Drosophila melanogaster: one gene and its partners. The gene in region 4 interacts genetically with the main gene of each other region. Each region holds a gene or a part of one and is shown on either strand. Other genes may lie near its edges.

Region 1 (8,069 bases), on a different chromosome or scaffold from region 4:
CACTCCATGAACACACAATGATTGCACAAAAAAAAATATATAACTCGATCGTGGGGCAAAGTGCAGCAGCTAATATGTAAGTCTGAACACAGAGAGAAATTTTTCTAAAAAGAGTATGAGAAATTCTGAACGCTTTATGTTAGCATTTAATTCTATACACTCATTATTCCAATAAGCTCTACATTAGATGGTTTTAGGCAAATTTTTAGCAGTGCACTCAGCTGGGAAATGCCAGAGATCTGAGATGTGGCACGGATCTGATAACGATCGCTAAAAATGCTGAAAACGTGATGCAAGTCAAATTTATGGCTATTAGATGCCCAGAATGGAAATCCCCTTAACAAGAAACTCGGCCGATTTGCAGCCAAATACAATTTGGGGGAAAATCGGTGTTTGTGTGTGTGTAAGTGCATGTGGAGATGGAAAACTGTTGGCCTGGCCGAAAGCCAAGGAAAACTCACACAGCCGCAAAAGTGTGAACTCTTTGGATGCGAAGGTGCAATCAGAATTTTTTCCTGCTTTTTCGTATGTATCGCTGGGCTGCACTTTGGGATGTGTGTACATGTAAATCGGCTTGCAGCAGAACTTTTGAGAAACATATCTGAGCATGTGTTGGTGCGTGTGTGAGTGTAATGTCCTTTCCTTGGAGAAGGACTTCCGCTTCAGTATTTTTCTGCTTTTTTTCTTTGGGGGGGTTAAAACTGCACTTACTTGCTGCGCGGAGTTTATTGATCGATCGGTGTCGGAATCTACCCGTATTCTCTGCAATAATTTGCACCAGCAAGGCTTTTTACACAGTTTTCGAAATGTTTTTTAATTGGCGTGCTTATTGTTTTTTGTGCTGATTACTTCCGTTTTTGCTTAACTGACGGGGGTGAGAGTGCGGAGAAGAGCAGCGCTACAGGAACTCCGTGACGTATGCTAGCAACAACGACTGACGAGCGAATGATGGCAGAAGGTCTACAAACTGGCCAACCAAGCTGGTTGCCCCCCTATCTGTGTGCCTCTGCTGTTCGCTGGTGTTGGTGCGCTACCCATGTATTGGTGGCTCTACAGCTGAGCCCGACACACTTACCCTGTTTCTGCCTCTTTCTGCTGCTGCGCATGTGCAAGAGAGGCTCTTCGGATGCTCTATCCAAATCGAAAGTAACTCAGCTATGTCACTGAAGTAAACACATTGTATTGTACATTAACAATACCTTATACTTTGGCTAAATAGCTAGGACATTTTTACAGTCTATCTCTTTGTGAAAACCTTTTTATCAAGGTCTTTAAAAAGTAAGTGCATTTAAGCCGAATTCTTTTAAACTGTTAAACAAACTATTATATGCATTGTCTTAGCTATTAGAGAAAACTATTGCATTTTGTACAATCATATATTTTTTATAAAATTCTATTTAGTGTATTAAAAATCTAGTCGGTGTAGAGCATTTCACAACGACTATATTTCCTATTTTAGTTACTTTTCGTATTTGGCAAGCCTCTCATTTTCTCTTCAGCAGCTGATTTTGTTTGTATACAAAAATCATATTGCAATATATATATACTGAAAAGGAGAGAGAACAAAAGGTAAATAAATACAGAGTGGAAAAGGGGAAGAAAGAGATGAATGGAAACGAAAATGGAAGTGGAAAAAAGCCACAAAAGCTTAATTTGTGGTTTTTAAAAAAGTTATAACTTATATGCATTAAAGGCAAAGTCATAAAAACTAGAATTTAATATGTTTTAATATATTTTGTGGTTTTTAAAAATTTATGTACCTGATAATTGATACAACAGCGCTACAGCATATTAGGGAAAATAAGGACATAAGGTGTAATTAAATAATATGACACATATTTCTATACAGATAAGTGTCTTTTACATAGAAAGTATATAAAACTATTTAAAAAACGAGAGTAAAAAAAAAACAATTTTTAATCTTGGCGGCTAAATAACTAAAAATAAGCCCTGGTCGATTAATTTATTTGCGCTATCGATAAGAGCCCGCTGAAAAAAATCGAAGAAAAATCGGGCAGTTTTCCAGCTCTAGCAAAAACACACGTGTTTACGTTTTTAGCAAATTGAACGCAATTTCTTTACTTCTTTGACTTTTTCTGGTATTACTTAATATCCGACTACCGAAATGGGCAGAAACAATCGCTCGAGAAAGCGTCGTGATGAAATGAATAAGATAAAGAAGGCGCGGTACGAAGCCAAGGAGTTAATTCGACTGAAGAAAACTCTGGGACTCCTAGATGCCGATGGAAATGAGATCATGAAGGATATAAGCGATGTGGTCGAAATTAAGACCGCCAAGGAGCTCAAAAGGGTTAGTTATGTGATATACCCACCTACAAATATACCAATTTACCTAATGTATTATATGTATTGTATGCATGTAATATGCGAAAAACCGGCTTAGTTTATCGCGATACTACCTTCATTCTTGTTACGTATTTTATATCCTTATTAAAGAAGAAATTGTATTCCTAAAACAGGAGGCCAAATCCAAGGAGGAGCAGGAATTGATCTACGAGCACCAGGAGAGTCTGGAGAAGGGCGAGAAAGTCAAGGTGACCAACGAGAACACGGGCGTGGAGCACATTTTCAACAGCAAGACCCTCAAAGATCAGTACGGCAATTATCCTGCGTGGTTCAAGAAGAAGAAGACCGCCAAGCGTCTAAGAAAGAAGCAGCACTCGCAGAAGAAGAACTTCAAACAGGCCTGGACCACGGTTAATGTTCCCCTATAAATCCGGGGCTGGGTTACCCATCTGGTATCTTATCGTAGTTTATAAGTCCTCGCTTAGTTTAGGAGATTTTGTAGGCTTTTTCTACAAAGATGTTATAGCTAAGAGTATATATTGCATATTAAAGCCCAAACAAGTTCTGAAAAACCCAGATATAGTCTGAACTTCTCAACATGGCAATCAAATAGTATCATTACTTTTTTAAAGCTACGAGTTATTATTGCATATTAAAGCCTTAAAATCTACACACATTTGCGGTGTCATGTGAACAACAAGTATCCAACGCTTAAACTAAAGTGCAGTTACATTATGCTCATTAGCTCTATTGCACGTGGAAAATCACAAAATGGGGATATTGAACTAAAATCGTGGTCAAATTTCTACTGAACGGAACAATAGCTGCGCACGCTGCAAATCACTCCGTTGGTGGCTGCCTCCAAACGTCGTGTGTTCGCCGACCATATGTGCGTGGTGGCCAGAGCCGTGGATGCGGATCGGGCACTTCCTCCTGCGGGTCATTCTGGCTTCTCTTTTAGCTCCAGTCTCTCAGTTGACTCGCTATCCGGTTCCACCTGCTCCTCCTCGATGTTGCCATGCATTACATTGGGATTGGCCTTTAGCACAGAGCCACCGGTGAAGCCGAGGATGCCACATCCTACTGCCGCCAATCCTCCAGCTTTCATGCCCGCCACCAGACCAATGGGTCCTCCCACACAGGTGCCCAGAAGAGCTCCGACTACGGGGTACATGGCCTTCTTGTAGGTGAGCGCCCGGCGCAGATTCAATTCGCCCTGCTGGACATTCTCCAGAGCTTCCTCCGCATTGTCTGCTATCTTTTCCACCGCCACTGATTGCTCTGCAGTCAGTTGACGCATTCCCTGGAACATCCCGTGCAGATCGTAGATCTCCTGTTGCAGGTTCTCCATCTGATCCAGGCAGGCTTGCCTCTGCGCCAATTGGTGTTCCTCCAGCTGGAAATTGAGTTGCAGCTGGGGCATGTGGCGGTGTGCGGGTAGACTGTTCATATCCACCTCCTGTGGCTGATTGTCCAGATCGTCGTCGTACTGAGAACTCAAAGTGGAGGTGGGTGATTTGAGTTGGAGCTCTAAAAATACAGTAGGTGTGTTGGTAAAGCCGAAAGAATTTAGATGGCATTTCAAACTTACCCGCAAATTCCTTCATGCCAGCGAAGGCAGTATCCCTGCCAGGTTTCATTAGGTCGTCGAAACGTTCCAGATCCTCCTCCCGTACTTTTTCTCGCAGTGCATCCATTTCCAGAAGTAGATTCTTGATCTGCTTAATGACCCTCATAGCATTGAGTTCCTCCTTTTTGATTTTTTGCCAGTCGCCGAGCGCCAGGCTTTTTTCTATATTGCTGCGATGGTTTTTCAGTAGGCTCAGATGGTGGGGCACCTATGAGTGTTAAGGAATTAGTTCCGCTCTTCAGAAGATATAGTAAATAACCTACCGCCACATCCTGAAACCTTTGGATGGAGACCTCCGCCTGTTTAAGTGGCAGTTTCTCATCGCGCGTCATCGTGAACTGAATACTTTGAACTCGCAGCGCTTTGATTTTTAATCAGTTTTAATTGTGGTAAAAGTGAAATCTGGGGGATCAGTTTCTGTAACACCCCCCGCCCCTTTTTAACGATGGACCTTGCTTAACAGATTTCCCTGGTTTTTCTGCGCAGTTTTTGCTTTGTTTTGCCAGTGACGTCACTGCTTGCTTTTCGGGATGTTTCCAGTGAGTAGTGCTTTGTTGTTGTGAATGAAACTACGGTGGCATGGTTCCAATCATGCTGGTCTTGTCCCCTATATTTATACTGATAATAATTCTATTGTGCAGTCCAATTATTTGTTTGTTATTGGTGATAGAGATGGCAATCAGTTCGATACTAGCGAATATTGCGCAGCCTTGCCCACACTCGATATTATTCTTACAGTTATCGATTGTCTCCGCTGGTGGGAATCCCCGCTAAAAGGTCAGCTTACAGCCGAGGTCATAAAAATAGTTGTTGACTCACCATTATTGCATTTAAAAGGAAAAATAACCAAATTTTATGTTGCGCGTTAAGTTGTAGCCAATATATAAAAGTAAATATTGCAGCACTTTACCTTTTTTTTCATGATAACTTCCAGATAAATAGATTTCCTTTGTTAAATATCCCATGAAAGACCCATTAAAATCAGAAAATGCATTTATTCGTGCAGTGATTTCTCATATACATTAAAATTATATACAGATACATGCAGAAACTAATCACTGCACCACCCACATGAAGAGCGGTGCAGAGTGCGGTGGTGCGCTTACGTCTAAAACTTCACATCTCGATACATTTATGACACACGTTCTCGCTTAAGTACTAATAGCCCGATCCGTGGGCTAATTCTACAGACTACAGAGGCACTCGACTCGCATTCGGGAATGGCTTACAAGCAGGAGCATCTAGCTACACATGAACGGAGTGGTCAATTAAGTTAACTAACATTTAATAATAGCGTGGGGAAATGCAGTTCTGTTTAGGGGCAATTGGCATTGGGGCCATTCCGGCACTTCAGCAGCAGGTTCAGCATACCCTCCAGCTTGTTCGTCCGGGACTCTGTCTTGTAGAGATTCGTCTGCAGTCGACTGACATCCTGAGCCTGCTTTTCCTGAGGGCATACGAAGTAATCGTTAAAGTATGAATATTCAAATATAGAAGTTCAACTCTAATCCTTACCAGCGTGCTTAGCCGACTCTTGAGTGTGTCCACCACACTGTAGGTGGCCTGCAGCGACTTTTGCAGCTCGTTCGTGTGCACTCGCTCATTGGCCAAGGACTTTTCGATCTTCTGGAGTCGCGTGGCCACCTCCGCGTCCGTATCATCGATATCGTTCTCCAGATCCCGAGCCTCGAACGCATCGTCCGCATTCGTGGACACCTTCTTGCAGCTCTGCTGATCCGACTGGAGAACGAATCCCTGACGGCAGCGGCAGAAGTAAGATCCATGCGTATTGATGCACTGTTGATCGCATGGCTTCTCCGTCTGGCACTCGTCCACATCCTGCTCGCAGAAACGTCCTGTGAAACCAGTTGGACAGCTGCAGGTGCTAGGAGCCGTACAATTGCCACCGTTTTGGCAGCGCGCGGAGCAAATAGCTGTAAATAATTAGAAGATAAAAATATTCCAAATTCATTGCAATCTATGTATTTTGTTTAAGACTCACGTTTCATGCACGAATCCGACCTTGGGTTTTCCCGGCTCCATCCCGTGCAGCAGTCGTAGGTCATCTGCTGGGCGGTCTTGTGATCGATGACGTCCCTGTAGGCCTGCTCGTGGACCACCTGCACCCTGGTGCACTTCTGGCCACTAAAGGTGGGCGGCTGGCAGGGCGTGGCCACGTGCTTCCAGGTGGGACGACTGTAGACCTCCGTTCGCTTCACGGGCATCGTAACCGTTCGCTGTTGCATGCAAATGTGCCGCCTGCAATGAGTAGCAAGGAAAACAAACCAGAGCGAGGTGTGAATCGAATAGGATTGGAATGGATTCGAGCGGTGTGGCTGACCCAAATCAGCGGCTCATCATCTGCAAAAGTGAAACTGACTTTTCCAGACGACTTCGCCCAATTACAGTCATAACGACACAGAGCGGCCAACAGGTTGTTTTTAGGAGTGGGATCTGGGCAATTGTCACATGTGTCTGGAAGTGCCAGCGGATTGGATTGGATTGGATTCGATTGGACTGGACTACGATATTAGCGTGTTCGCGTATCTGCGATGACAAACACGACACGCTCCCAGCCGATGACTTGCAGCCATGTCAGCCATGTCATTTGTTTGCCCGCCACTCGGACTCGGATATGGAGGAGCAGCCAGATGGCAGTTTGGCAGCCTGGCAGCCTATCAGCCTGGCAACCAAGTGCTCCAGTTCACGCAACCGACAGTTCAGTGGCTGTCAAACCAAATTTGAAGGCTTGTCAAACTGTTGACAGAAATATCACAAGGATATTCCATATTAGTTGTTATCCAATTCGGTTGCCTTGTGCAACAAATTCAAATTTAGCAATTTTTTCCAGCGAAAAATGTATGTACTTCTAACTCAAAAAAAGGTAACCAATTTAATGTTTTAAAGGATAAAAATCAGACTAAAAGTAATTTTTTTAAAATGTTTATATATTAGCCAATATTTCTATTGAACATAATATTTTCAGCATTTAGATCCTTACCAGGAATTTTTCGGAACTAACGCTGTAGCCGTTGTTTTATTACAAATTTAAGCCCATAAGAGCATTTGAAGTTTTTACTACTCAAGTACAATCCCAACTTCACACTTTATAATAAATCTTTATATATGACCCTGTGCCTCTCAAACCCAGCCAAAATCCAATAACCGAAGTGCCAATGCTCCTAAGACCTTTGGCCCCCAAGCAGTCAAACATAAAAAGCGCTGATAATAAGCGGTTTTTGATTTTGGTTGCCAAAAAACGAGGCAAACTGGCCCAAAAGCGAGGTGCATCCCATAAATTGGCAGGCTGTGGGGCTGCGAATAAACGCTGCTGTTTGATGCAGCACTTACTGCTGCTGCAGTTACTGCTGCTGCAGTTGCTGCTGCTGATGTTGCTGCTGCAGCAACTGATGCTGGTGGTGGCTGATGGTGTCGTAATTGGCAATGCGGGCCAAAAACAATTGCGAACGCGTGACGTGGCCACTGAGTGACGACTGACTGCTGCGATCGTTGGTTGGTCTTTTTGCTGGCCATTTGGCTGGCCAAAATTTCGCGATTTAAAAGCGGAAAGTGGCACACAGTTGGCCACAATGGTCCTGCGACCGGGACATTTACCAATTTCTTTATTGCCGCGCATGCATATTTATGCCCTGTTCTTTCTTGGGTTTTTTCCCTGTATGTTGCTTGCTGTAACTGGCTTCTCTTGTACCATAATTCTCACGTTATTTATGCGCCAGCATTCTGAGCGTTAAGGGCGCCAAACAAAGCCAAAACCAAAGATACTGGCCTCCATTTCCAGCGAAAACAATAACAAGAACGGCTAAATAAAATGCGGAAGTCTTCTCCCGAAAAGCAGAAACTGTGCCAGCAGCAAAGTGCAACATGGAATGCTCATTCCCATTTCCATCTCCAATCCACTGGCTGCATAAATCTCCAATCGGATTCAGTGCACCAAAAAAAAATCAATTAATATGTTTTGTTTTAATAGTTTCAACTAACTGATAAAATATGAATGGTTCTTATTAAAATAATACAATCCATAGAAATGTGCTTCTACCTCTGTTTAAATCGACTTATTCAATTATCCTTAATCATATTTAAGTATGAACTACCAATTTTCTTTCCGTGCAAT
Region 2 (8,013 bases), about 14 Mb from region 4:
CCAGTAGAGCGGCATTTGGAACAGAAACAGCGTCGTGGGCATTACGTTCCTGTAATTCCCGGTAACCGAAATTCGAAAAAAAGCTACGAGAAGGAATCCCACAATCAGGTATATCGATCTGTTGTTATACGTGCACGAGCGCCGCAGGATTATCCACAGCCGATCCTCGGGCAAATAGTACCGCCCATTGCTCCCATATTCGACGACACAGCGGTACAAGCGAAGGAGCAGATCAGCCAAGAACACGGTGGCTACAATGCGAATAGAGGTGTCTGCAACGAATCACGACCGTAAAGATAATTTATGGCGTCCATCGGTCATCACTCACCAATATAATCTCCTATCATCTTTCGAAAATAAAAATATTTTCTGCCTTTTTCCGCGCGAACCGCGTTCCCCGCTTCGACAACGTTGCTAGCGATTGCCATTTCGTCTGCATACATATGTACGTCTCAAGGGTTGCCAGATCGATTTGGAGATCTCGCGAAAACTTCGCTGGAATTTCAAATGCCGTTAAATTATATATAAATTTGTTTATTGGGCTTGCATAGGTATACATAACTGAATTTGGGCTCCTAAATATTAATTACATTGCGTGCACATACAAATGCACATATTTATGTATGACGGAAGCAATGAAGGAACTACATTGTTATATCTTTTTATTATTATTTACTTTTGTGTTTGTTTATCAGGTATCAGATAAGATTTTATCAATATAGCCTCAAAGATTCGTTAATCAATTTGTATTCGAAATAAAACTTTAGGTAACAATGTCCGGTTCCGACTATCAGATACATATACAGACATGAAATCTGCTGACTGTAAAGCTCTCCGCCCTCTGGAACAAATATTCGTGAGAGCCGGAGCCAGCTCTAGACTCCTCCCAAAAACGCATATTGTTATTCTAGTGTCTTTGGTAAGAGGGTATACTAGATTCGTTGAAAAGTAAGTAACAGGTAGAAGGAAGCGTTCCCGGCCATGTAAAGTATATATATTCTTAATCAAGATCAAAATAATAAAAAATAACAAAGATAATTAAACATTAACAATGGTTAACCAATTGGTGGTTAATTAACCATCAACAATGGTTAACCATTACGCTCTTACTCTGCAACTTAAATACTGATAGCTACACCCTAAACGAATTATAAGATTTGATAAATGATCTTATTTAAGCATGCTTATTGTGTTCTAATATTAAATTCTATAGAAACCTTATCCTGTAAAAGGCTCAAAAAAGTGCAATCGTGCCATATTTGTGGCCAGAATAAATGAGAATTCTAAGTCTTTTAAAATAAGTAATTTTAAATCGAATATTTCGGCAGCATATGCGCATATTGAAACTACGTATATTGTATCTTGCGTGTGTACATAGTTTAAGTTATTACCTGCGGTTTTTTCTGTCAAAACGAATGGATCCAGGCTCAAAGATCTCAGGAGCAAAAGCTTGGGAACGCTATTAATTTAAATTTACTTTAATGGAAAATTCTTTGTCCGGGGAGAAGAATCTCAACTGGATGAACTGATGCTCTCGTCAATACTGAAACGCTATCGGTGGGATGCCCCTATTTAAGTTGCGGAGATCATTTAATTTAATAAGCAAATGCAAATAATCATAAGACCGTATAACATAATTTGTAAAACACGTTATGCAGTGTGACCGTGCGATAAAGCCAGACTTATCGGCTCCATTAAATATCGATGCGTCGATGTACCGTCCTTCCACCTCTAATTTTATAACTGCATCGAAGCGTCAGCAATTGTTGTTATTTGTAATGCAAAAATCGAGCTAATTCCACGGTATTGTGATGTTTTTATTGTGTTCGGCAAAAGCAATTGAAAATCGATAATAACTTAAGCCGCTTACCACAAAATGTAAATCTGCAGTTGCGCTATCAACTCGAGGCGGATCTAATTGGATAAACAAAGCAAGTACTTTGATATAACAATTTGCATATTACACATATATACGTATGTTACTCATAAACAGAGTTATTGTTCAGATTGATAGGCTCGCAATTGGATAGTAGTAGTTTCTAAATCGATATGTACATTTCTCAGAATCCGAGAGCACGTCATCATTGACGGATCGTCGGCTCATTCCCCGATAAGCAAAACAAAGCAGTAGCCTGAGGAGCTGAACAACCGCGCCCTTAGCAAAGGAGAATCTGTGGCACCATGCCGATACTATATAGTGTGATATCGCGGGGCACCACAGTGCTGGCGAAGTTTGCGGAGTGCGTCGGCAACTTTGCCGAAGTGACGGAGCACATAATCGGACGGATCGGGGTGCATAACCACAAGATGACCTACACACACGGAGACTACCTGATCCACTACACCTGCGAGAACAAACTGGTCTACATGTGCATCACCGACAACGTGGGTGAACGAACCACTGGCCCAATTAGCCACCTCAGTTGCTTATTGCCCAATCGATAACGTATCGTTTCTTTGTAGGAGTTCGAACGGTCGCGGGCCTTCCTCTTCTTGGCGGATATCAAGCAGAAGTTTATCCAGACTTACGGCCTACAGGTGGCCACCGCCATCGCCTACTCCATGAACACCGAGTTCTCCAAGATCCTGGCCCAGCAGATGGTCTATTTCAGTCAGTCCCGGGAGGTGGACACCATTTCGCGAGTACATGGTCAGATTGACGAGCTTAAAGACATTATGGTTAAGAATATTGGTATGAAGGAAGGAAAATCCGTATGTTCTTTTTGTTTACTATTCCCTTTTCATCCCATTTGCAGACAGCTTGCGGGATCGCGGCGAGAAACTAGAGCTGCTCGTCAACAAGACCGAAAACTTGAGCAATAATGTAAGGTGATGCCAAGCAGAGACTTTTAAATGTGTTTTTCATTTGATCTCTCTTACAGTCCGTTGCATTCCGTAAGGCCTCCCGAAATTTGGCTCGTCAAATGTTTTGGAAGAACATCCGCGTCTACGTGGTGGTGGGTCTGGTGATAACCTTCATCGTTTACGTGATTGTGAGCATGGCCTGTGGTGGCCTCGCTTGGCAGTCCTGTGTTTAGGACAAGCTTTAAAGTTGTTTATATTGTTATAGGCTCATAACACATGTATATTTGCATATAAAACTCTACAGTACTCTCATCTATGTTCTATGTAATAAACTTCAATGTATACCGGATAAAGTGTTAGAAGAGATAATGGAATATTCACTTGTCCTCCACATACACGACGTCGTTGGCCTTCACCTTTCCCGGCAGCCGAAGTCCCATATGAACGCCCAGAGCCGGCGAACTGTAGTTGAACAAGCGATAGCTGTGGATTCCAGATATGAGGGTCGGGTTTTGTAAGTCGTACTTCTCAGATATTTCCATGGGTAGTGACTCACCTTCTGAGCGTTTTGAGAGGCTCTCCTTCGGAACTCCTCTCTGCGGTCTTCGCATTAATGTTGGTAAAAATACAGCGAGTGCATGGCGCCACCGTACGGAAAACAGCATCTTCGCCTATACGCACCCACTGCCAATTGTCCTCGGCATAGGGCTCATCAACATCCATTTTCAGTTCGAAGTTACCTCGGAACTGCAGTGCATCCACCGGATTCTTTAACCGAGTATTAAGATCGGCGACCGACGAAAGGTTCATCAGCATAAAGCTGGTGGCATCGTTAAAAGTGCCCTATGGAAAGAATTCAAATCAAGGGTGATCTGGGTCCTAACACTTCGAATTGCGCATCAGGAACATACCGAGTCCTCCTGTCTAATGAATGGCATGGACTTTAGGCGGGGATTGGTGCATCTCACTGGTTTCGGATAGGGATAGTGAACTAGCTTGAGGCCGCTCTCCTTCTTCAGGATGGCCTGGGAGAACCACGTGTTGATCCGATCTCCGCAGGGCATCACGTCTATGGAAACGCCCCAAACGGAAGTTTTCACATCCTTGCCAGGACCGTCCAGCTTCTCGAAGTCCAGCTCCAGGTCTGGCATGTCCTGGGCGCTGAACACAAGCTTGCTGGGCGACACCTTCTTCGACTTGATCTGGGTCATAAGCGGATACACCCGAGCCGTGATCATTTCGTTCTTTTCATTGACCACCATCAAGGTGCGATCCCTTATTCCCTCAAAGGACATGCTCAGTACATCGCAGTCGTACTCCACTCCGGGCTTCGAGATGTCCATAGGGGCACAGGACTTGACCGGAAAAAAGTGTATCCTCTCCACGGTGCCCACGCGTCGCCACTTTTGGGGAACCACATCGCGGGTCAGATGGCGGTACAGTAGGAAGCTAGCCCCGCCCACCGCCACCAGGCCCACGCCCACGGCCGCCAGGGTCTTGGGACTGAGGTCAAAGGTCGAGTTATTTCCGCCGGCTGCAGGATAATCCACGTTACTTAAGGATCTCCCAGCTAATCCCGGTTTTTCACTCACTTGCCATCTCCTTTGCGCTGTAACACTTGTTGCTTTCTCTGAGTCAAAAGCTCCACTGATTAGGTTTATTGGACAAAAAGCTCTCCTTTGATGAAGATCTCTTACCAAGGCTGGACAACACATGCATCTATGTATATCAGCGGTCATTTTGACAGTAGCAACTGATGATAAGGAATGTAACCTGGTTCTTAGTGCTATTTTTCAGTGATAGGGTAGACTTAATACATTTATTTTTAAATTACCATCCCCGCTCCCTCCAGGTTAATCGATAACTGTTATCGGGCATGCAGCCGGCGAATTCGTGCTCCTTTGTTTACATAACAATTGCAAGAAGCCTGTTGCCTTTTAAGCGGAAAAAGAAAAAAATTTAAGGTTCTTTGTTCTATCAGACTTCTATCGGCAGACTTCGGGAATCAGTGTCATGGAATCGAGGGACCGGAAAACTTCGAATGAGGACGACTCGTCGGAAATCTCCGAATTGGATGTGGGCAGTGATAGGTTTAATCCTCTGCGAGCGTTATACGAACCCAATTTTAGGGTGACCGATGCTGTTCCAAAGGTCATCTACCAGAATCTGGCTGCCTTCGAGAGTGCACTTAAAAAATTCGGCATCTGGCAGCTGAACAAGCGCCAAAAGCCGGGATCCGCAGAAGGAGGAGATCAGGGGACATCGAAAAAGGCTTCCACTTCCGAGGCTGTAGATATTCTACCTCCTGAGCGACGTTTTGAGCCGCACCAGATGCCTACCACTAGTAGCAGAAAGAAGCATCATCGAAATATTTTCACCTACATGGAGGCAGCTGTCGGTCCATTGGAACTCCTAACGAAGTGTATATCCCCTGCTAGCCACAATGAATCCAACGAAAGGAGAAGAGTTCGGGTGGTGATTCGCAAACACGGATCGGTGGGCGGCAGTGTCGAGGGTGAACTGTTGGCCTTTGACAAGCAGTGGAACCTCCTACTGAGGAATGTTACCGAAACCTGGAAGCGACGAAAGTACAATTACGGAGAGCAAAACATATGCGACACACCTGTTGATTGCACAGGCCGCCTCAAGGAGTTGGGTATCACTCTTCCCAGGACTGTAGTCAAAAATCTAAACCGAAAAAACGTGGAGATTCGGCGAGAGCTCCCACAGATTTTAATACGCGGCGAGAATGTGGTTCTAGTTAGTTTAATACCAACAAAATAGTGTATAGCTTATTAAAAGTCACCTCAGATAAAAATCGCGTAGGGTTCTACTTAAAAAACTACAGCAGTCTCTATTAAAGTAGCTAAGAATATATGTAAATTATTGATATATATAATTAAGTTACGCTACAATGTATACAAATTAAGTTATATGATATATTTCCATTTAAGGTTTGAAATCGTTTTACTTTTAAAGAAATTTAAACTACTATTTTATATTTTTCGAAACGTACTTAACTAACGAATCTGTTCAATTCCTCTGGATCATCGTCCTCATATGATTCCATTTCTTCGCTTTGGAGGTGAACCAGTTTATGAAGCTTCAGCAACTCCAGCGTCTTGAATCTCCGCCAGCAAAAGTCGCAGGAGACCTGCCGCGCACTGTTACCGTCGTGAATTTTCCGGATGTGACTCTTCAAGGTGCTATTCTCTCGAAATTGCCGGCTGCAGTGCGGACAACATAGTTTCGGTTGGTCGTGAGTTCGCCGATGAACGGCCAGGGCGGAGCTGGTCTTCGAGCTGTGCCCGCACAGCTCGCAGATATAGTTCCTTTGCCCCGCGTGCATGGCCTGGTGCTGTTGGAAGTCCCACTTGGAAGGTGCATTGTAATCGCATCTGCTGCATTGCCACTCCGGCCGCTTAAAGTGGTACCGTGCCTGGTGTTGTTCTAGCTTGGAGGCGAGTGGAAAGCTCTGGTGGCACACATGACAAACATTCGGATTGGGTCCCCCATGGACGCGGAATTTGTGCAGCCGTAGCAGGCGCTCGTTAAGAAACCGTCGGTCGCACTCCTCGCAAATGGTCACTGATATGTGGTTCGTGGGCATGAATTTCAGCAAACTGTGGTAGTACTTTGGATAGCGACAGCGGAAGTCGGAGCTGCTCAACTGCATTACATACTGTCGCTCAAACCAGACTTGCAGGAAACGGGCACTGGCATTGACCACCTTTGGGTCCAACTGGAAGTGAAATCGATGGAACAGGGCCTCTGCCACTTTTTGGGAACTATCCATGCGATCTTTTTTATTGATCCCGTGCTCAGTTATCCAGAAGAATTTGTGTCTCCGCAGTTGCTGTATGAAGTACTGAATAACTCCGGGGCTGGTGCGCTGCAGGCTGTAGAAGGCTTTGTGGGGTTGGTTCGAGATGTAGTCCTGTGGAAATCAAAGAATCGAAGTCAAGCAAGTGTCATTAATAACCAAGGCTGCTTACATGGTGGCTATTGCTTGCGAGCTCATCATGGCCCTGCTCTTTCTCTGGTGAAAAGTTTGGTTCCACCTCCTCTTCCATAAATTCTACATTTTTGAAAGATTCCTGTACCTCCGCCAACTTGGATTCCTGAGCAATAGACGCCGCCAAGAGATTGGTCATCTCCACCTGAACCTCGTCCTGGATCTCATCCTCATCTGCATTAAATCCACTTTCGTTTCCATGCCTTTGAACCAGGTGCTTCATGAATTCCTTCCATTTGTCACCGCCAAAAGTGTCCACATTACAAAGGCAGCATTTGATTAAAATTGAGGAGTCACTTCTCATGTATACGCGTGCACTTTCTACATAATGCTTCTTATTTGAGTGTTTTGGTATCATGTCCTTAGAATCTGCATGCAATTTATTCCGAAAACTACACATTTTATGAACTAAGTATCGTTTTCAGGTACGATTTGTTTTCCGATAAGTATTCTCATTTACAAGCGCAAGTGTTGGAAAATTCGACTTGGGCCATAGACTTATCGATAGGTAGTTGCACGTCTTATTCGAATTCAAATGGCAGACGACACTCGGCCAAAAAGCAATTTTTGTTTTCGCTTTGTTTTGCTCTTCTTTTGTGTGTGAACTCAAAGGACGGGCTTTGTTGCCTTACGCACAAAAAGTGCATATTGTTGGCCTGACAAAGCGGTAAAAACTTGCGCTTTCATTCATTAAAACTGGGACTGTTGCTGCTTGGAGCGTCGCTGCTGCTTTCGGAACTGCTGTTGGCGCAGTCGCGATCCCGAGCTCAGTCGAAAACACGTTACGCGCCTGTGCAGAGCGTTTTTGCTCTATCCAAACGTTTCCGATCCCATCCGATCCAATCCGATACGATACGATCCGATCCGATCCCATACGATACAAAGCCAGCGGATTCGAAAGTTTTACACCGCGTGCAGCAGAAGCAGCAACAACAGCAGCAGCAAAAAAAGCAACAGCAATAACAATTCGTATGTTTCGTTTGTGTGTTGAAGATTTAATTTTTTATGCAAAGCAAACGACGACAGACTTTTCGGCTGGTCAACAATTTCTATTTTAATTGGCAGTAGCGCCCAGCAATTTACCATAAGCGAATGGAAAGCTGACAAAAGTCACCGACTCCGGTTTATTGTGCATAATCAAGCCAATCAATGTGTTTTCTTTCGTCCACATTATTTGCCATTTTTGCCATTTG
Region 3 (8,889 bases), on a different chromosome or scaffold from region 4:
ATATCCGAACTTATTTCTGAATGATACCATTCTAGGCCCCTTCCGCCACGCCCATAATCGACTGCAAGAGCAACCCGCCCGTATACAGCTTTGTCCAGGGCTGGCAACTCCTAGCCCTGGCCGTTTCCCTATTTGTTCCGCGTTCGAGCCGCCTTTTGTGGTACCTCAAGCTTCATCTGTCCCGGAATGCCGATACCAAAACTGAGACGGGCAAGTATGCTGCCTACTGCGAGCGTGCTTTAGAAAGGACCTTAAAGAATGGAGGCCGCGAGACGAAGCCTTCGCGGATGGAAGTGTTGTCGATTCTGCTGAAAAATCCGTATCACCACTCCTTGCCGCACGCTATTCCAGTGCATATGATGAACAGCACGTACCAGGTGAGCTGTTGATTATTTGATTATCCAAACAACATCAGTTTCTCACTCTATTCTACGATAAACCCACAGGTTGTCTCCTTTGATGGATCCACCACCATCGAGGAGTTCCAGGCCACTTTGGCTCACGAACTGGGCACAAGGGATGCGACCAACGGGTTTTGTCTGTTCAGCGACGATCCTATCGAGAAGGATTTGGAGCACTACCTGGAACCGCTGGCCAAGCTGTGCGACGTGATCAGCAAGTGGGAGACGGCGCTGCGGGAAAAGGGATCAGGCAAGTTCGAGAACTCTCGGGTGATTCAACTTAGCTACAAGAACCGTCTGTACTGGAAGCATACCATCAAGTGCGAGACAGATAAGGAGCGTTTGCTCCTCTGCTATCAGACCAATTCCCAGATTGTCCAGGGCAGATTCCCTCTATCCAGAGAGCTAGCTTTGGAGCTGGCCTCGCTAATGTCTCAGATCGACATGGGCGATTATTCGCTCGAGAAGTCGAGGGATGTGGGTGTGGGCCTTAAGGGTCTGGACAAGTTTTACCCGTACCGCTATAGGGACGCCCTAGGTGCCGAGCAGCTGAAAGATGTGCAAGAGCTGCTGGTCTCCAAGTGGATGCTCCTTAAGGGCCGCTCGACCTTGGATTGTGTGCGCATTTATCTCACGTGCTGCCGGAAGTGGCCATATTTCGGAGCTTGCTTGTTTCAGGCGAAGCCCAGACAGAGTCCAGAATCCAACACCGCCTCGGGAGCTACCCCGGTAGCTTGGTTGGCTGTCGCAGAAGATGCTCTCAATGTCCTCGAGCTGTCCACAATGGCTCCGGTGGCCAGGTATCCGTATAGCTCCGTTATGACCTTTGGCGGCTGCCAGGACGACTTTATGCTAGTGGTTTCCCACGATGACGGCGGAGGCGGTGAGCAAAAGCTTCTCTTCGCAATGAGCAAGCCGAAAATATTGGAAATCACACTGCTGATAGCAGACTACATGAATGCGCTGGGACACACGGTGCCCGGGACTCCGCAGATGAACTCCCTGACGAGGAATGGGTCGCATCGCTCGCTAAGAACCTCCCAGCGGCCAAACTTGGGTGGTGGCTCAGCGGTGGCCACCGGGTTCTCTACAAATGCCACCACAACGGCCCACAATACGCTCAATTCGCATGCGACACACACGCTTAACTCCAACCATTCGCACACGCTGAGCAGCTCCCATCACGCCGGCGGGGGAAGTCAACCGGGCACTCTGAGCTCGGGTCATCATCAGCACCACCATATCCAGCAGCACCACCAGCCTGATATCCTGAAGAGCACACCGGATCACCAGAGGATTAAATAGAGAAGAGTGGGATTGGAGGATCTCAAGAAGAACGATGGTTCCCTGCACGTTGAGGATTACGGAAAAGATAATCAAAAAGAGGAAATTAGAGAGTAGCGAAGAAGGATTAAAGTAGAGCTAAAGGATCACACATTGTACATAAAGGTGGAAAATCACAGCTAAACAGACATATACAACTAACAGATACATATGCACCGGCCTAGTGGCTACAAATATGAAACTAAAGATAGAATGATAGAAAGATATAAAGATAGACGGATGGATAGCGATAGCGGTAAAAATACGACTTAGCCTAATAGGCCTGGGATGGACCTTCTTCTCCTTGCGCACCACTCACTAAAGTTATTTTCTAAGCTAACGACGGTACCCGTACTCTAAACCTACTTTGTAAACCGCAGCAGCAGGCATATATATATAAATATATACTATATATTATTTTTTTTTGATAGTCATAAGCCCAGCGTACCCGAAAGTGCATGAGGGTATGCGTAGAAACGAAAACAGAACAAGAATCTCAAAGTTCAGATTGTTCCTGACTTATTTATTTATTTTTGATTTTTCATAGTTCAAACCAACATACAAGTAAAGGCAATGCAAAACACACCTATAAAAATGATATGTTTGAGTGTTATTGCTCTTCGATGCTTTTTAATGAATCTCAATTTGTAATTGTCCCTCCACGCGCAAAACTGCCTTCTGAATTTGTATAGATGTCGGAGCCAAGAACGAGAAAAATATAGTTATACAAAACGAAGCCAAAAAAAACAAAACAAGCGAACTATAGTAGCATTAGCAGAATCCAATTGAGAAAAGCAAATATTTTTTAAAGAATTTTGAGCCTAGTGCGGGCTATCAACCAAGCATACCCATCTATTGTATATCTAAATAGTTCCAGTTACGCCCCGACCCGCCCCGCCACGCCCGACTCGTATGGTTTTCGCATAAACTAAAACTTCGATTTTATAGACCGCGTAATTTATTTTCGATCCCACTCACCACCAGAGCTTCAGCAGAACCACAGCCTAGTACACGGAAGCCAGAGGAGGTTGCAAAATTCGGTAGATGATTGCTCTTCTCCCCAGTTAATTAATTATTGCAGACCATTTCACACATCCCCCCCCACAAAGCATATGCATTCATATGTAGTTATGTAGAGAGCGTATATATGTATTCGGATTCGATATTTCACAAAACTATACACACCAAATTACGATATAGCAGTGTATATGGCAACAGCGCATTTTTTTCCTAATTGTAAAGATTTGATATTACAAATTTATATGCGCTGAGACGCAACGAAAACGGACATTTAGCGGGACGATATGAGACCGAATGGGATCGGGATCGGATCAGATCGAGAAATTCATTGAGAAGAATCGTAATTCGAAGGCTTGCAAGTGGATATAAACTATAAAGGCGAATGTATCACATCACACTCAGTGAATCGAAAAATATATAAAGGGAAATTATCGATTAAAACTAAACCAAAAATCAGATGCAGTTTCTATCTTTCGGGCTTGGGTAGTGCATCGAACACAGTTTTGCCTTCTCTTTATTAAACAATATAAATTTATTTATTTGCCTTAATTTTACACATATAAATTGCCTAAAACTGTTATTGTTTATTTCCCTTTCTCTTCTTTTCTTTTCTTTCGGTTCGCTTGTTATCTTTTCTTTTTCTTTTGTTTTTTGCGGTGTTTTTGCAGCTTGTATCAAGCACTCCGCCGGATTCGGATTCGCTATGCAGCGATCCATCTACAATCTAGACATTTATACACACACACACGGATCGACGCTCATAATTTACAGATTTGGGTCGTAGTCAACCGACTTGGCTCAAAGGTCGTCTAAACTAAACCCGATTCGTAATCAAATATTTAGAAAACCTGCGCAACGGAAGCGCGAGGCGAAATGAAATGGGAGTTAATAATTAATGGAATCCCAGACCGTAAATAACGCAAAGGTAAGTTAATATTAGAAGTAAAACAATCCTCGGGAGCGATGCGTATGCTGGTAGGGGGTTTCGCTATTCACTTTTCGCTTGCCTATGATTCATAGATATGAATGAATATGGTGTGGTTGGTGGCGTGGAGTACAGGTGCACGCGTAATCTAAATGTCTTTTGGTCTTGCGTCCTTGACGCTTGACTCCAACAAAGAACGCGCCGCTCCGAGTGGCCATGGAACTGCTTGATATTACAGAACCCAGAAATACATGATGAACACTAGAAGTATCATGCCCAAGGCCATCGCCTTCACGTACATGGACTTTCGGTTGAGCAGCTTGGCGTCCTTCTTGTACTTCTGTGACATCATCGATAGGTTCTGGGTCTTGGTGTCGAGTTCTGGAAGGAAAAACGGGGTGAACGTCAGTTGAATCCCACAATCACGCGTAGATAGTCGCGTAGATAGTAGTAGTAGTAGTTACCCGCCAGCACTGTGCCACGTTGGAGCACGTCGTCAATGTTTTGCACCATGATGCGCTGCACATCCTGCAGCTGTGTGTTGATGTTGCTGATGTTGCGTCTGCGGTCCGTCAACTGTTTTTTCGCCTTCTGTATGTACACGTCAAACTCGATGAATGCGTATGGGCGAGTCACTGAGTTTACTCGCCGGCCGTAGTTAGCATGGAACTCCTGGGCCAGGTCCTCCAGGTAATTGAAGGCCAGTCGCTTTGAGTACATCTTGTCCACCATCACCAGGTAGCAGACGTCGTTCTCGATTAGGTAGCTGCAGGGAAAATGTGGAATATTTTAATTGGGGCGCCCATTGCATCTTCTGGCTTTCGCAAGCAGTGAGCGTTTAATTTAACTTCGTATCAAATTACATCTATACTCTTTGTTCCGAAACTAAATCAACTGTCACTGACTACCCGCGGAGCCGAGAAACCTTTGTACATGGTGTGATTTTAATGGTCTATGCCCTGGCAAAGGTGCCACGAATTGGGGCTACTCACTGGAATAGGTAGGGTCCGGTCTCGATACTGCATCGAGCCGGGGAGTGGGTACCCAGCTTGCGGAAGAGCATCTTAGCCTGGTTTTGGTAGTCCAGTATGCTGCGTCCGCTCTGAAAGTGAAAGCGACTTAGTTGCGGGAGCGGAACGGAATGCAACGTATTAGAAAGTGATGCACACGGGTACCTGCTCGTCATCCTGCATGGTCCCCACCAGAGGAAGGCCATCGATGACCCTGGCTATCATGGTCAGCAGCGCCATGGCTTCTGCTGTTCCTGGTTACGATTGCTCGCGGAACTACGGGGCTGCGTCTCAAGTCTTCTTGGCCACGGCTGCACTCTGCCGTCGCCTCCTTCCACTGGCTGCTACTTATTCCGATGTGGATCCGCTGCAGTCCAGTCACCAGTGTGTGAAGTTTGTGTCCGGTCGTCCTCTTCCACTTCTTGGATTTCACAACTCAGCCGATCGGTCGGTGCTTGCCGCAGTGCTCCTGCGATGCCCGGGACTTCCAAATGGACTCTGCCTCGAATCGGGAACGTTCGCTGCTACCATGAAAACTGTGTTGCAACGTCGCGGCGGGCGGGTGTCTGGGATTGGAGTGGATTGGAGGTTTCTGTGGATGTTTGTTGCAATGTAACCACGTCACCGGTATGTCCGTGTAAATATACCGAATGGTGCGAGGCATACCGAATACCGCAGAGTATCTCAGAGTACCGACCGCCAACGGTCACATTAACGGAAGTCCATTATACCATTCGTTTCTTCGTTTCTTTAAATGCACGATATGGAAATACGCTTTCAACTCGTTTTCAAGCCAGCATGCCCCTGAAAATGGCGCTTTCGAGTTTCCGGGCTTTCCCGCAAAGCTATTTTCCCAGGTCTACAGCTTTGACAGCTTGCGCTCTGCTGTAATGTGGAGTTTGCTTTTTGTATGCGTGTGTTGTACACAGGATGCGGATTAAGGATCCCCAGAAGTTCAATAGAAGTACAATACTTCGATTCACCCATGAACCTGGCGCCCAGATGCATTGTTCTATAGCTGTTTTGAGTCCCAATCCGACCAATTGGTCTTTGGTATTTTTATTTTTTATATTGGCAATCGAGTTGCGAATATATTATTTCAAATATTTAAATATAAATAAATATTTATTTAAATTATTAACCAACATAAATCGAAATCCCTGGCACGTCGCGCCGCTTTCGCAGACTCAAATCCGCTGGCGCAGATGCCGGAAGTGGGTTGGACCCCCCAAAAGTCGATGACCAAGCCCAACCGGTTCGCCCGCGAAGACCATCCTCTGCATGGACATCCACATCCATCCCCAGAAGGAAAAGTGGTTCGCCCGCGAAACCGGACTTGGACTTGAGGCAGGGACCCAACTATATGGACTACCTGTGGTACTTGGCGATGGAGCTGCGTGCGAATGTGCGTTTCAAGCGACCACCGGAAAAATCTTTGCACTGGGAAAATAATTCATATCGAATGCGACTTATTCATCTATGTATATTATGAATTGAAGCCCTGCAAGCGAATGCGAATAACCATTCCCATTTCTGCTCATACCGAAGAATGCTAAGATATACACAAGTTTGTGATCAAAGCGGGAAAGCTTATGACATTATTTAAAATGCTTGTACTGTGATCTTAAATCGAATGCATTTCAATTAACTCTGAGCCCATCGAGGACTGCGGTCAACCTATTTTCTCATCGTGTGATCGGATCACCCGCAGCGGAATGCGTGCGCTTCCGTTTTGCTCGGCTTGGCCTCCTTCCTCGTTCCGTTGAAAGCAGGTATGTATATATAAGCCACTGCTCCACCTAGAGGCTCCACAATACAAAGTCAGTCATGGCCGGGTCAGTTCGTGCGACGCTCCTGGGTCTCCTCATGCAGATCCTGTGCAATGGGCTGGCTGGTCAGCAGCTGCTCCTCACACGTCCCCAAAGGAGCCTGTTCGAGACTCCGCTGGGTCACGTAGAGCAAGTGGAACAAGTGCCCTCTTTAGGCTGGAATAGTGTTGGTAGTGGACTCGGAGTGGGCGAGTGGCCCTACAGCCCCGTTGGTCTCGGCCACATGAGCAAGGATGAGCTGCTGACCCTGCTGGAGGCCTGGAAGGAGGTCGAGGAGGAATCGGCCACAACAACGACTGCGTCGCCAGCGGATGCCAGCACACGTAGACCTCCTCCGCCTCCACTGCCACCACCACCACCTCCTCCGCCACGACCCACACCCATACCAGTCTCCGTTGCAATCCCGTCACCGGCTGTTCCGCCCTCCGGCACTCCCATTACAGTGCGGCTCCCAGCCTTTGTGCCTGTGCGTCTGGCTGCCGTGTTTACTCCGCTTGCCGGTGGACAAGCTGATAGTGCTGTTCCGTCTGCCAACGGAGTCGGAGGGGCTGGAGGAGATGATTTGTCCACCGATGACGTGACAGATGATGACGGCGTCTCTACCCGGCTCTTTCGCTTTTTGCCCATGCCAGGAGCTCGAACGAGACCGCAATCCAATTCACAGCCCAGGCAGCAATTTGTGGTGAGGAACACCCTGGACAGCGTGGATGCGGGCACTGCCCCTGTCAGGCAGCAGATTAAACCGGAAGTCCAGCCCAAGGCGACTGCTCCGCCTTCCATTCCCAAGTTCCCTGGCCACCCAACTCCCTTCTTCCGTCCCAGGTAAGCAGAAACGAAAGCGCTAGAGGTGGTCATCTGGGCAGCCGGCTCATTTCCCTCCATTTTTGCTCTAGATTTGGTGTGCCACCGAGTCTGGCCAACGCTCGATTCGAGCTGGTGCCCTCTTCCCAAATCATCGGCGACTGGCGGGTGTGAGCCTGTGCATCACTTGACTGACCAAAACGGAGTACCTTCCGGCGAACCAACCAGGATCGAGCTTTTGAAGGAGGCTGTCTTGCTAGGCTGTTTCCACTGTTGCTTATGTATTTTATTTTTTATTGAATAATAATTTTTTTTTTTTTTTTTGTGTCCAAATAGAATATGCAATCAGTCATAGATTAGCGACATACTAACTGCTTTCGAATTGAAGTAGGCACTTTTTCTGCTCCAATGGCCATGTGAAGCCATATATGTACATCTATTTGTATGTCCTCTGAAATCGCTCAGCTTTTAAAACAAAGAGCAGTCTGAAGAGTACATATAAAGATAGCGATCAGCCCGAGTATTTAGCCATAACAATTTATAGTATTTTTCGAATCCTAAGATTGGAATATTCAGTTCAATCGAATATGTATGCAGTTTCCCCTCACACAGTTTTATAAGTTGGCCTGAAGTTTTTGTACAAAAAAATATAAATTTTATATTTAGAAATGAAATGCTCTGCATCTTTTAATGCCCTCTGCGACGTGGGAACGCCGCGTCCGAACTTGCAGCGGTTAATTCCCTATGTCGAGCCGCAACAGGACGACGAGGAGGATATGGTAGTGTGGTGCCGGTCAAATCTGGATTTGGCCTGCTCGCTCAGCGAGATGCGCATACGCTGTCCAGAGCACTTCGATGTCGCAACCGTCGTGGGGGTAAATTCGCATACCGGAAAACTAATCACCCACTTTAATCACCGGAAACTGGGGGATGTGGACCTGGCGCCTCACGCGTTGCTTAGCCGGCGAGACAAGTTCATGGACATTTGCCAGAAACAAGTAATGACGAGTCAGGGCTGCTTGGCGTCAGAGGGAACACCAATCCCCGCCGACCTGGAGGTCACTTGGCAGAGTCATAGCATCATTGACTGCCTTGCTCTCCGCAAGGTGCGTGCAGAGATGAATTTAGCTGATCAGAAGGCGGCCAAGAATCTTGTGGATCGCGTTGAGGTGCACCACAAGACTTTGCAGACGGAGGAGGCGGAGCGAAGGAAATTGATTATTGACAAGGCAAATTCTGCGAGGAACTTGACTATTGACAAGGCAAACTCTGCGAGGATCTTGGCTATTGACAAGGCAACCTCCGCTAGGAAATTGACTATTGACAACTCAACCTCCGCGGGGACATTGACTATAGACAAGGCAACCAACGCGAGGAAATTGACTATTGACAAGGGAACCTCCGCGAGGAAATTGACTATTGACAAGGCAACCTCCGCGAGGAAATTGACTATTGACAAGGCAACCTCCGCGAGGAAAATGACTATTGACAAGGCAAAATCCACGAGGAACTTGACCATTGACAATGCAACCTCCGCGAGGAAATTGACTATTGAGAAGGCAACCTCCGCGAGGAAAATG
Region 4 (7,701 bases):
ATGATTGCCAAAATCGAGACGTAAATATGGTCTTTAATGAAGCCAACCGACCGGTTGAGAAGTGTCGCATTTCGCGTAATTAAAACTTCATATTGCACAATCGGGTGCACAACGCCCAAGGTCGCCCCAGTTATTTCCCAGGCTCGTTGCAATTCGAATGCAATCAACTGGTCGGTCCTGTCACTCAAACGAAATCTATAGAACACTCACCACTCACTATGCACACACATTCATAATTTGCAGATCGCGGTCGAGGGTCGCCGGAGGAGGAGGAGGAGGAGGCGGCGGCGGAAGCAGCGGCGGCAACAGCAGCTCCGGACCATCGACGTCGCGAAGGACGACGAGGAACAATGCGGCGGCCACAGCTGCCGACCGGCCCAAGATCAACGAGGCGGACCTGGAGGGTAAATCGCCGGAAGAGGTCGAGATGCTGAAGACAATGGGATTCTGCACGTTCGACACCACCAAGAACAGGAAGGTCGAGGGCAACGATGTCGGAGAAGTGCATGTAATCCTCAAGCGAAAGTACCGCCAGTACATGAATCGCAAGGGTGGCTTCAACCGGCCGCTCGATTTCGTGGCATAGCAGTGCCTAGCAGCAGCCGTTGGCGTTGTCCTTGCAATTCCAATTGCCATTGGCCATCGCCATCGCCATCGCAGCAGCCACATCCTTTTCCGTTGCCCAACTAGTTTGCTACGCTTTTTTACTTGTCCGTGCCCAATGGGCAATGGGCGGCGGACGAAGACCTGCAATTTTATGCAATAGACCGGTTTACGAAATTCAGCCAGCTTTTGGCCCGTCAAAATTTCCACGCATCCAGCTAGTTCAGCACGAGGACAGCCTCGCCACACACATACCTCAATTAGTTATTTAGTAGTCTAAGCCTGAAGTGCGCCTTTGTTATAGAGTTGGCCGCCAGGTTAATTTTACAACAAAAGTCTGGGGCTGAAAGCCAGCCATCCCAGCCAGACGTTCTCGGATGGCGAATCTGCTTTCAGCTGCAGTCGACGACGCACGACGATTGCTTTTTGAATATTTCAAAGTAATTAACAATTGTTTTTGTTGACATCTCGCCATTTTGTACGCATACGAACGAATTAACTGAAGCCAGCCTGAGAAACCCAAATTCACAACAGAAAAATTTCCAAACTCACACACAGACAATTACTTAAAGTATTTGAAAACTTACCACAGCCCGAAACGCACTCTTCACATACCCATACCCTTATCCTTACCCATACCCATACCCATCCTCATCCGCATCCAGATCCCCATCCCGATCCCAACCGCAATCGAAAAGACCTCCCAACAAACTTCCTCCATACGCTGCAATAGTACAAGTTTTACAACCAAACAATATATATCAAATATATATTTAAATATAGAAATTATATATACACACACACCACAAGTACCTTATCCCCGCAACCCCCGAAATGAATCCAACAATAGCCATAGCAATTTGTTGAAAGAACTATTATTTGTTGAACAATCAAAATGTTGTAATTAATCCAGTTAATTCCGATTTCAATCACAAGTGCCAACAGATCAGGCAAGCAACGCTGAAGATGAATCACATTTGATACAGATTACAGATATGTATTTGTATAATCATTCTTTTGTACTCTTTTTATAAGATAGTAGGCATGAATTTTTGTACGCCTCAACGAGCTAACTATTTTAAGCAACAGTTTCAGTTACCCATTTCTTTGCGTTTGGAAAACAGCCACATGTATTGGAAAATTTGAACCATTTTGGACCAGCACCACTCACACACATCTTATAACAATTATTTGTAGTTTTACACACACGAAATTGCAGGGATTTTGTCTTATTTCATATTCTCCTACAATAAACTGATAATAAATTTGTAAAACCATTAATGTTCATGTTGTTTATGTGGTGTTAACTGTGAATGAAACTAATGGATTTTCCATTTCAAATATACATACGTGCATATGTGAAATTTCTTTGGGATCCAAATTATTTAGAAGCGCAAAGTAAACAAAGCCAGTTTAAATTGTATGTTTTTTTTTATTATTTTGTAATACGAAAATTTAATACAATTTGCGATTGAAGTACAATTACAAATGAAATGCTTAAGAGAAATGAATTGTGTGGAAACCAAGTTGAACACAAAATACAAAAATGCTTGGCAAAAGGTAAAAATATACGACTAAAGTTACATTTAGTTATTGTTACGCTTGCTATCGCTTAATGGATTGCAATTTTGCTTTACATAATTATGAAATACATGGGGCGCCGTTTTCTGGCTAGGATTAGAAGGAGGGAAAACAATCGGTTTTGTGCGCGAAGGCAGAGCAGACGGATTATGTCCGCTCGAATGATGCTTGGGTAAGAGGTTGTGTTCCTCTCGATTCAGTGTGTTAGTCTTTTTGTTGCCGCTTCTGATGATCGCTAAGGCTGAAGATCCGCAGGGACCCCGCTGCACCTAATCGCCTTTGCGAGGCTTGCGCTTGCGCACCTGTTCCGTCTTCTCGGGCGCAGCATCGCCGGCCTGCTTGGGCTCCGGCTTCTCTTCCTTTTCCGGCTCGCTGTCGGCCTCCTTCTCTTTAGTGGCCAGATCGCCCACCTGCTCCTCGCTGTCCTCTTCCTCTTCGTCGTCGTCCTCCTGTTCTTCCTCGTCGCTATCGCGTTGCTCGTCATCGTTCTCCTCGGCGTCGCCATCATCCTCGATCTCCTCGGTTGCCAAATCCTCCAGGCCCTCGGTCAGATTGTCCTGGGACTCGGAGAAGCTCTGGCGCTGCGACTTCTTGGGTGGGTAGACAAAGTCCACAAGGCACACGAGCAGCAGCCCCAGGGCAGCGCCCACGAAGATGGTGGCGATGGCGAAGAGGGCGTAGGAGCCCCACGTGGGCAGTCCGTATTCCTCCTGCAGGCGCCCGTTGAAGTCCTTAAAGAGTTTTTGCGTATGCTATTAGTACATGAACCCAACATACAAGACAACAGCAGAGAGCAAAGACCAGAGTAATGAGTGATGGGCGGCAATCTTTTGTGGGTCAACGGGATCAACCCGCTGATAAGCTTCCGCTTATGTCTCATGCAGTGAACCGATGCGATAATGGGCTAGGTGAACGTACCTTCAGAGTGTGCGAAAGCTTGAAGAAGTAGGACAGCACGGACATGTGGGTGGTGTCGGGCTTCTTCCAGGCGGACAGCGGTTCGATGCTCTGCCACTGCTGCTTCTTCACGAAGTAGAGGAGGGCGTCGCCATCACGGGCCCCACGATACTGCCGGAACTCGCCATCTTTTACGCTGGAAATGATTGACGTGGATTACGACGATGTGTATTTCATGGGTTGAAAAGGTCTATGTGGTGCTCACTGGTAGATGGTGGGGAGGGCGGTGACAAAGAAGCGTCCACTCAGCGAGGGCGAGGTTGTCACGTCGATTTTGGCCACCTGCACCTGGACATCCTTGGCCACGCGGGCAAACCGCTCCCAGGTGGGAGCCAGGTTCTTGCAGGCCGGGCACCATGGAGCAAAGCTGTGAATGGAGGGAGAAACATATGTTTAACACAGCTGCCGATGAGTCATCGTCGCCGCAAAGGAATGTCTGGTATTTCGGAGAACGAAAGAACCAGCTTGCCGGCTGGAGAAAGCCGGCGCACCACGCCCCTTTATGTTACGTCAGGGGCAGCGGGGTTTCATGTGGGTAGGGACTACTCAGAGCCACCCTTTCGCACTCACAACTCGATCATCCATTCGCCCTGGAGCATCAGGTGCCAGTTGTCCTCGTCCAACTCGATTAACTTGCCACCTGGCTGCAGTCCTGACTGCGCTGCTGCCGTCGACTGCGCCGTCGCCGCCAGCAGAAGCAGCGCCGCGCATGTCGCGGCCACAAAGTACGATGTGCTATGCATGTGGTGATGTTTTGGTGCTTTGCTCCGCCGATTCGTGTCCTGAAACCTGTGACGTTCGGCTGCGACAGTTTCTTAAATTAAACTAAAGCTTCCGTCTTGGTCAGTTCCAAAAAGTTACAGAAACTGCGACGCCTGCTGGAAAATTGACAGAAGTGCTGGTTCGATATCCATCGGAGATGGCAAGCCGCTTTATTCCCCGCTAGATCATCGGTAGGGGGATTCGGTCGGTATTCGCTCGTTACACGATTTTTTATTTATTAGATCAAGCTTCAAGTTTTCTTACATACAAATTCAATTTTTATCGTATCTTCAAAATCATTTTAATTATAATAACTTATTTTATTGAAGCCTCTGCAATGTCAAGCTATTTATAAGTCGATTGAACTGCATACAAATACTACATTTGTACCATCGCTATTGCAATCGATAACTCCAGACAACAACAAAGAAAATAAAAGTTTACGAAAACATAACAAAATTCGACATTTTGGAAGTTTCCCTCGCCACAAGAAATGGCCCATAACTACCTGCAGCCAGTGCACGATCACTTCGATGACGTGGACAGATTCGAGGACGTGGACGACGACCTATTCCTGCAGAACAAACGGACGGGAGCAGCCAAGCTTCCGCAGCAGAGGAGCACCAATCCCTTCGAGATGGATGACGATGACGAAGAGGAGATAACCTCGTCGCCATCAGTGGCCGCACAGCGACTGGCCTATGCTGAGAAGCGAAGGGCCATTGAGCAGCGAACTCTGGACTCTACCAACAAAAGCTTGGGTAAACATGGGGTCAATTGCCAGCCAATTAAGGGGCGTTATTGATGCGTCTCTCTCCTACAACCCCCAGGTCTGCTCTACGAAACCCAGGAGGTGGGTAAGGCGACGGCCGTGGAGCTGGCCAAGCAGCGGGAGCAACTGGAGAAGACATCACATCAGTTGGACGAGATCAGCTCCACGCTGCGCTTCAGCCAGCGCCATCTGACTGGTCTGAAGAGTGTCTTCGGCGGCCTCAAGAACTACCTTTCGGGCAACAGGGACCAACCACCCACCGCGACTGGTTCGCCCACGGGCAGTCAGTCCTCCCAGGAGGCCAATAGCAACATTAACCAGGGTGCCTGTGGCGGTGCTAGCCCCTCGGCTCCGCTATCACCAGCGGAGCGCTACGACAATCATCCGGTTAGCCAGCTGCGTGGTGATCCCAGCAGCACCTACCAGCCCCAGCGACAGGCGGCCAATCCCTTCCAGGCCCAGATCGATTCCAATCTGGAGGAGATGTGCAGCAACCTGTCGGTGCTGAAGATGCTGGCCACCGATCTGGGTGGCGAAATTGAGTCGCAAAATGAATTGCTGGATAACATGAACTACAAAATTGAGGATGTCGACTTGAAGATTCACAAGCAGAACAAGGACATGAGCAAGCTTCTGAAGAAGTGAACAAGCGAGCATTCGCATACTATTGTATTGATCATTGCTTAGAATAGCCCTCCCTTAATATACAAATCTTAGCCATACCATATCGCACGGTGAGCACTTCACAAGGCCATTAAGAATGCATTCCTCATTATGTTTCCTAGTTTTTTATTGTTACACACACCAAAACAATTCTCTCAATGGAGTGCTCGTAGTTGGAGAGCGATAAGTGTTCAGTTTTAAATAAAGATTCATATAAAAAGCAAGTATATCTGGCCTAGTGTTTCCCCGTCTGGATTGGAATACATTATACATTTTCGGAAGATATCTCGAGTTGCAGTGCTCGCGCCCTAATAAAGATATATAGTTCTTTGTTTGAATTCGATAACTTCCGGACAACAGCGACCAATCGATTCGCTAAAGCTATCAAGCAATCGAATTCCAGTTGATACCATCGCTGGAAAGCTCTTTTCTCAAACGCATCCAAAAGAATAGCGCCAACTCAGCGCATTCCGGAATTCGTTTCGTAAATATTCTGTAAATTTTGCGATAATGGAAGAAAACTTCGAACCGTACACCCCACAGTTGCTCAAGAATCCCTTGTCCTATTCGTGAGTAATAAGATACATATTAAAGGCACTCATGACCACGTGCAACTCATTCTGCAGGGATCTCGTGAAAAAGGGCGTTGAGTTCGAGGTCGACAATTCGCAGCAGAACCATGCCAGGGATCTGGGTCTCGACAGCGACAGCGACAGCGACTACGAGGATGCGCTGGACGTGGACGGCGAGGAGCTACGTTCACCGTGGACATATTCATTCGACGAACTGCGTGCGCTGATGAGCGAGATCGACGAAAACATTTACAAGCGGATCACTCGCACCGGTCACGTGGATCGGGAGGCGGTGCCGAACAAGGCTAGGGTCTCGGTTCGGTACAGTGGCTACTGGGAGGGCGAGACCGCTCCCTTCGACTCCTCCCTGCTGCGGGGCAGCAAATTCGTGTTTGAAACTGGCCAGGGAACGGTGGTTGAAGGCCTGGAGGTCGCCGTCCGCAGCATGCGTCCTTACGAGCAGGCCGAGTTTATAATCTCCTACAAGCTGCTTTTCGGAGAACTCGGTTGCCCTCCGCGGATCAAGCCCAAGGCGGATGCGCTCTTTAAAGTGGAGGTAATTGACTACTCGCTCATAGGAGATGCGAAGGGCATCGATGCTATCCCCCAAGAAGACCGCGACAAGTTTTGTGTGGTCTATCCGAAGGCTGTCGACTTGCACCTACATGGCAAGGACTCGGTGAAGCTCGGACGCTATCAGAGTGCAGCAACTGCCTTCGAACGGGCAGTGAGCTCACTGAACTACTGCCGAATGGCCAATGACGAGGAGGAGCGCAAGCAAACTGAACTGCTTACTACCCTGAACGTAAGTGGCCAACAAGAATAGCTTGCAGAGGCAGCGTTCTCGACCAGGCAGTTGATTCCTTGTCTCCTTTCTCAGCAAAACCTGATGATCGTTTACAACAAGATGAACAAGCCGAAGCGCGCCTGCATCATGATGAAGGCCTTACGGCACCTGACCATGGGCAATCCGTCTTGCAAGGCGCTCTTCCAGGAGGGACGCGCCCTGGCCGCTCTGGGCGAGTACAACTTGGCCCGCAACGCTTACCTGCAGGCGCAGGCCAAGCAGCCGGCGAACAAGGAGATCAGCGACGAGATTATCAGCATGAACAAGAGAATCAGCAAGTATGAGGAGGCCAGTCGCGATATATGGGCACGTGCCTTCTCGTTAAAGAACTCAAAGTCAGACGTCCGCAAAACGCCTGCTCAGCTGGAGAAGGAGGCAAAGGAACAGGATTTCAATGACAAAATGGAAGATTTGATTAGGCGGTTTAAGAACACTTCAGATCAACAAGTGAGCTTTTCACGTAAATCTTATTCGAACGCTCAGTTCGACGCGACTTGCAAATTGGCCAAGGAACACAACCTGAAGCTAACTTTGTCTCCCATCCAAGAGGATGTTCTGACATTGTCTAAGCCGGATGTTAAGTTCGCTTGAGCTTACTAAGAAGCCCCAGTATTTCATATTTCATATCTTACTCAAAAAAAAAAACATACCAAACATGAAGGTAATTTAGTTCCAAGTTCTAGAAGAGCAGTATCATTAGTTATTTCGATATTAGCAACATGAATATCGTAAGCCCAGACGAATGTTAACGTTTTTTGTTATTTAGAGCAACGTAGACCTTAAGTTGTTAAAAACCACAATAAAAGTAATGCACGGCAGCTACATAATCGTCAGGTACTACTTAATTTACTTTCCATTACTTTGCTCGAATTGGCGATGCAGGCACTCCAGGCACGCACATCCTTTGACATGTCCAAGTCTGGGCTCTACGATATGAACCTCCT

Evidence for each region.
Region 1: of Snap29 (region 4) and Syx17, changing one enhances a phenotype caused by changing the other (phenotypic enhancement), as found in Drosophila melanogaster (one study listed by BioGRID).
Region 2: of Snap29 (region 4) and Vamp7, changing one enhances a phenotype caused by changing the other (phenotypic enhancement), as found in Drosophila melanogaster (one study listed by BioGRID).
Region 3: of Snap29 (region 4) and Sec22, changing one enhances a phenotype caused by changing the other (phenotypic enhancement), as found in Drosophila melanogaster (one study listed by BioGRID).

Annotation. Positions count from the first base shown.
Region 1 is NT_037436.4:4,400,027-4,408,095, reverse strand, and holds Syx17 (syntaxin 17), read right to left. Parts: upstream 4,610-8,069; 5' UTR 4,270-4,609; coding exon 4,201-4,269; intron 4,146-4,200; coding exon 3,899-4,145; intron 3,838-3,898; coding exon 3,248-3,837; coding exon of another isoform or gene 3,113-3,247; 3' UTR 2,928-3,112; downstream 1-2,927. Other genes in the region: CG15019 (uncharacterized protein), read left to right, coding at 2,126-2,311, 2,481-2,735; slow (slowdown), read right to left, coding at 5,253-5,384, 5,453-5,871, 5,940-6,196.
Region 2 is NT_033778.4:9,836,219-9,844,231, reverse strand, and holds Vamp7 (Vesicle-associated membrane protein 7), read left to right. Parts: upstream 1-1,729; 5' UTR 1,730-1,931; intron 1,932-2,006; exon of another isoform or gene 2,007-2,064; 5' UTR 2,065-2,181; coding exon 2,182-2,385; intron 2,386-2,463; coding exon 2,464-2,692; intron 2,693-2,756; coding exon 2,757-2,824; intron 2,825-2,882; coding exon 2,883-3,038; 3' UTR 3,039-3,152; downstream 3,153-8,013. Other genes in the region: sting, read right to left, coding at 1-272, 329-428; Marc (mitochondrial amidoxime reducing component), read right to left, coding at 3,183-3,288, 3,362-3,648, 3,717-4,339, 4,398-4,404; Lsm11, read left to right, coding at 4,819-5,589; CG1663 (uncharacterized protein), read right to left, coding at 5,822-6,742, 6,801-7,043.
Region 3 is NC_004354.4:802,515-811,403, reverse strand, and holds Sec22 (secretory 22), read right to left. Parts: upstream 5,329-8,889; 5' UTR 4,920-5,328; coding exon 4,839-4,919; intron 4,772-4,838; coding exon 4,662-4,771; intron 4,436-4,661; coding exon 4,134-4,435; intron 4,051-4,133; coding exon 3,902-4,050; 3' UTR 3,204-3,901; downstream 1-3,203. Other genes in the region: CG43867 (uncharacterized protein), read left to right, coding at 36-377, 447-1,706; CG13358 (uncharacterized protein), read left to right, coding at 6,507-7,330, 7,402-7,483; CG13359 (uncharacterized protein), read left to right, coding at 7,978-8,889.
Region 4 is NT_033778.4:23,841,342-23,849,042, reverse strand, and holds Snap29 (Synaptosomal-associated protein 29kDa), read left to right. Parts: upstream 1-4,279; 5' UTR 4,280-4,396; coding exon 4,397-4,664; intron 4,665-4,733; coding exon 4,734-5,320; 3' UTR 5,321-5,560; downstream 5,561-7,701. Other genes in the region: ytr (yantar), read left to right, coding at 244-586; CG5554 (uncharacterized protein), read right to left, coding at 2,454-2,936, 3,103-3,277, 3,347-3,508, 3,712-3,884; shu (shutdown), read left to right, coding at 5,849-5,907, 5,965-6,715, 6,791-7,348; CG46398 (uncharacterized protein), read right to left, coding at 7,604-7,701.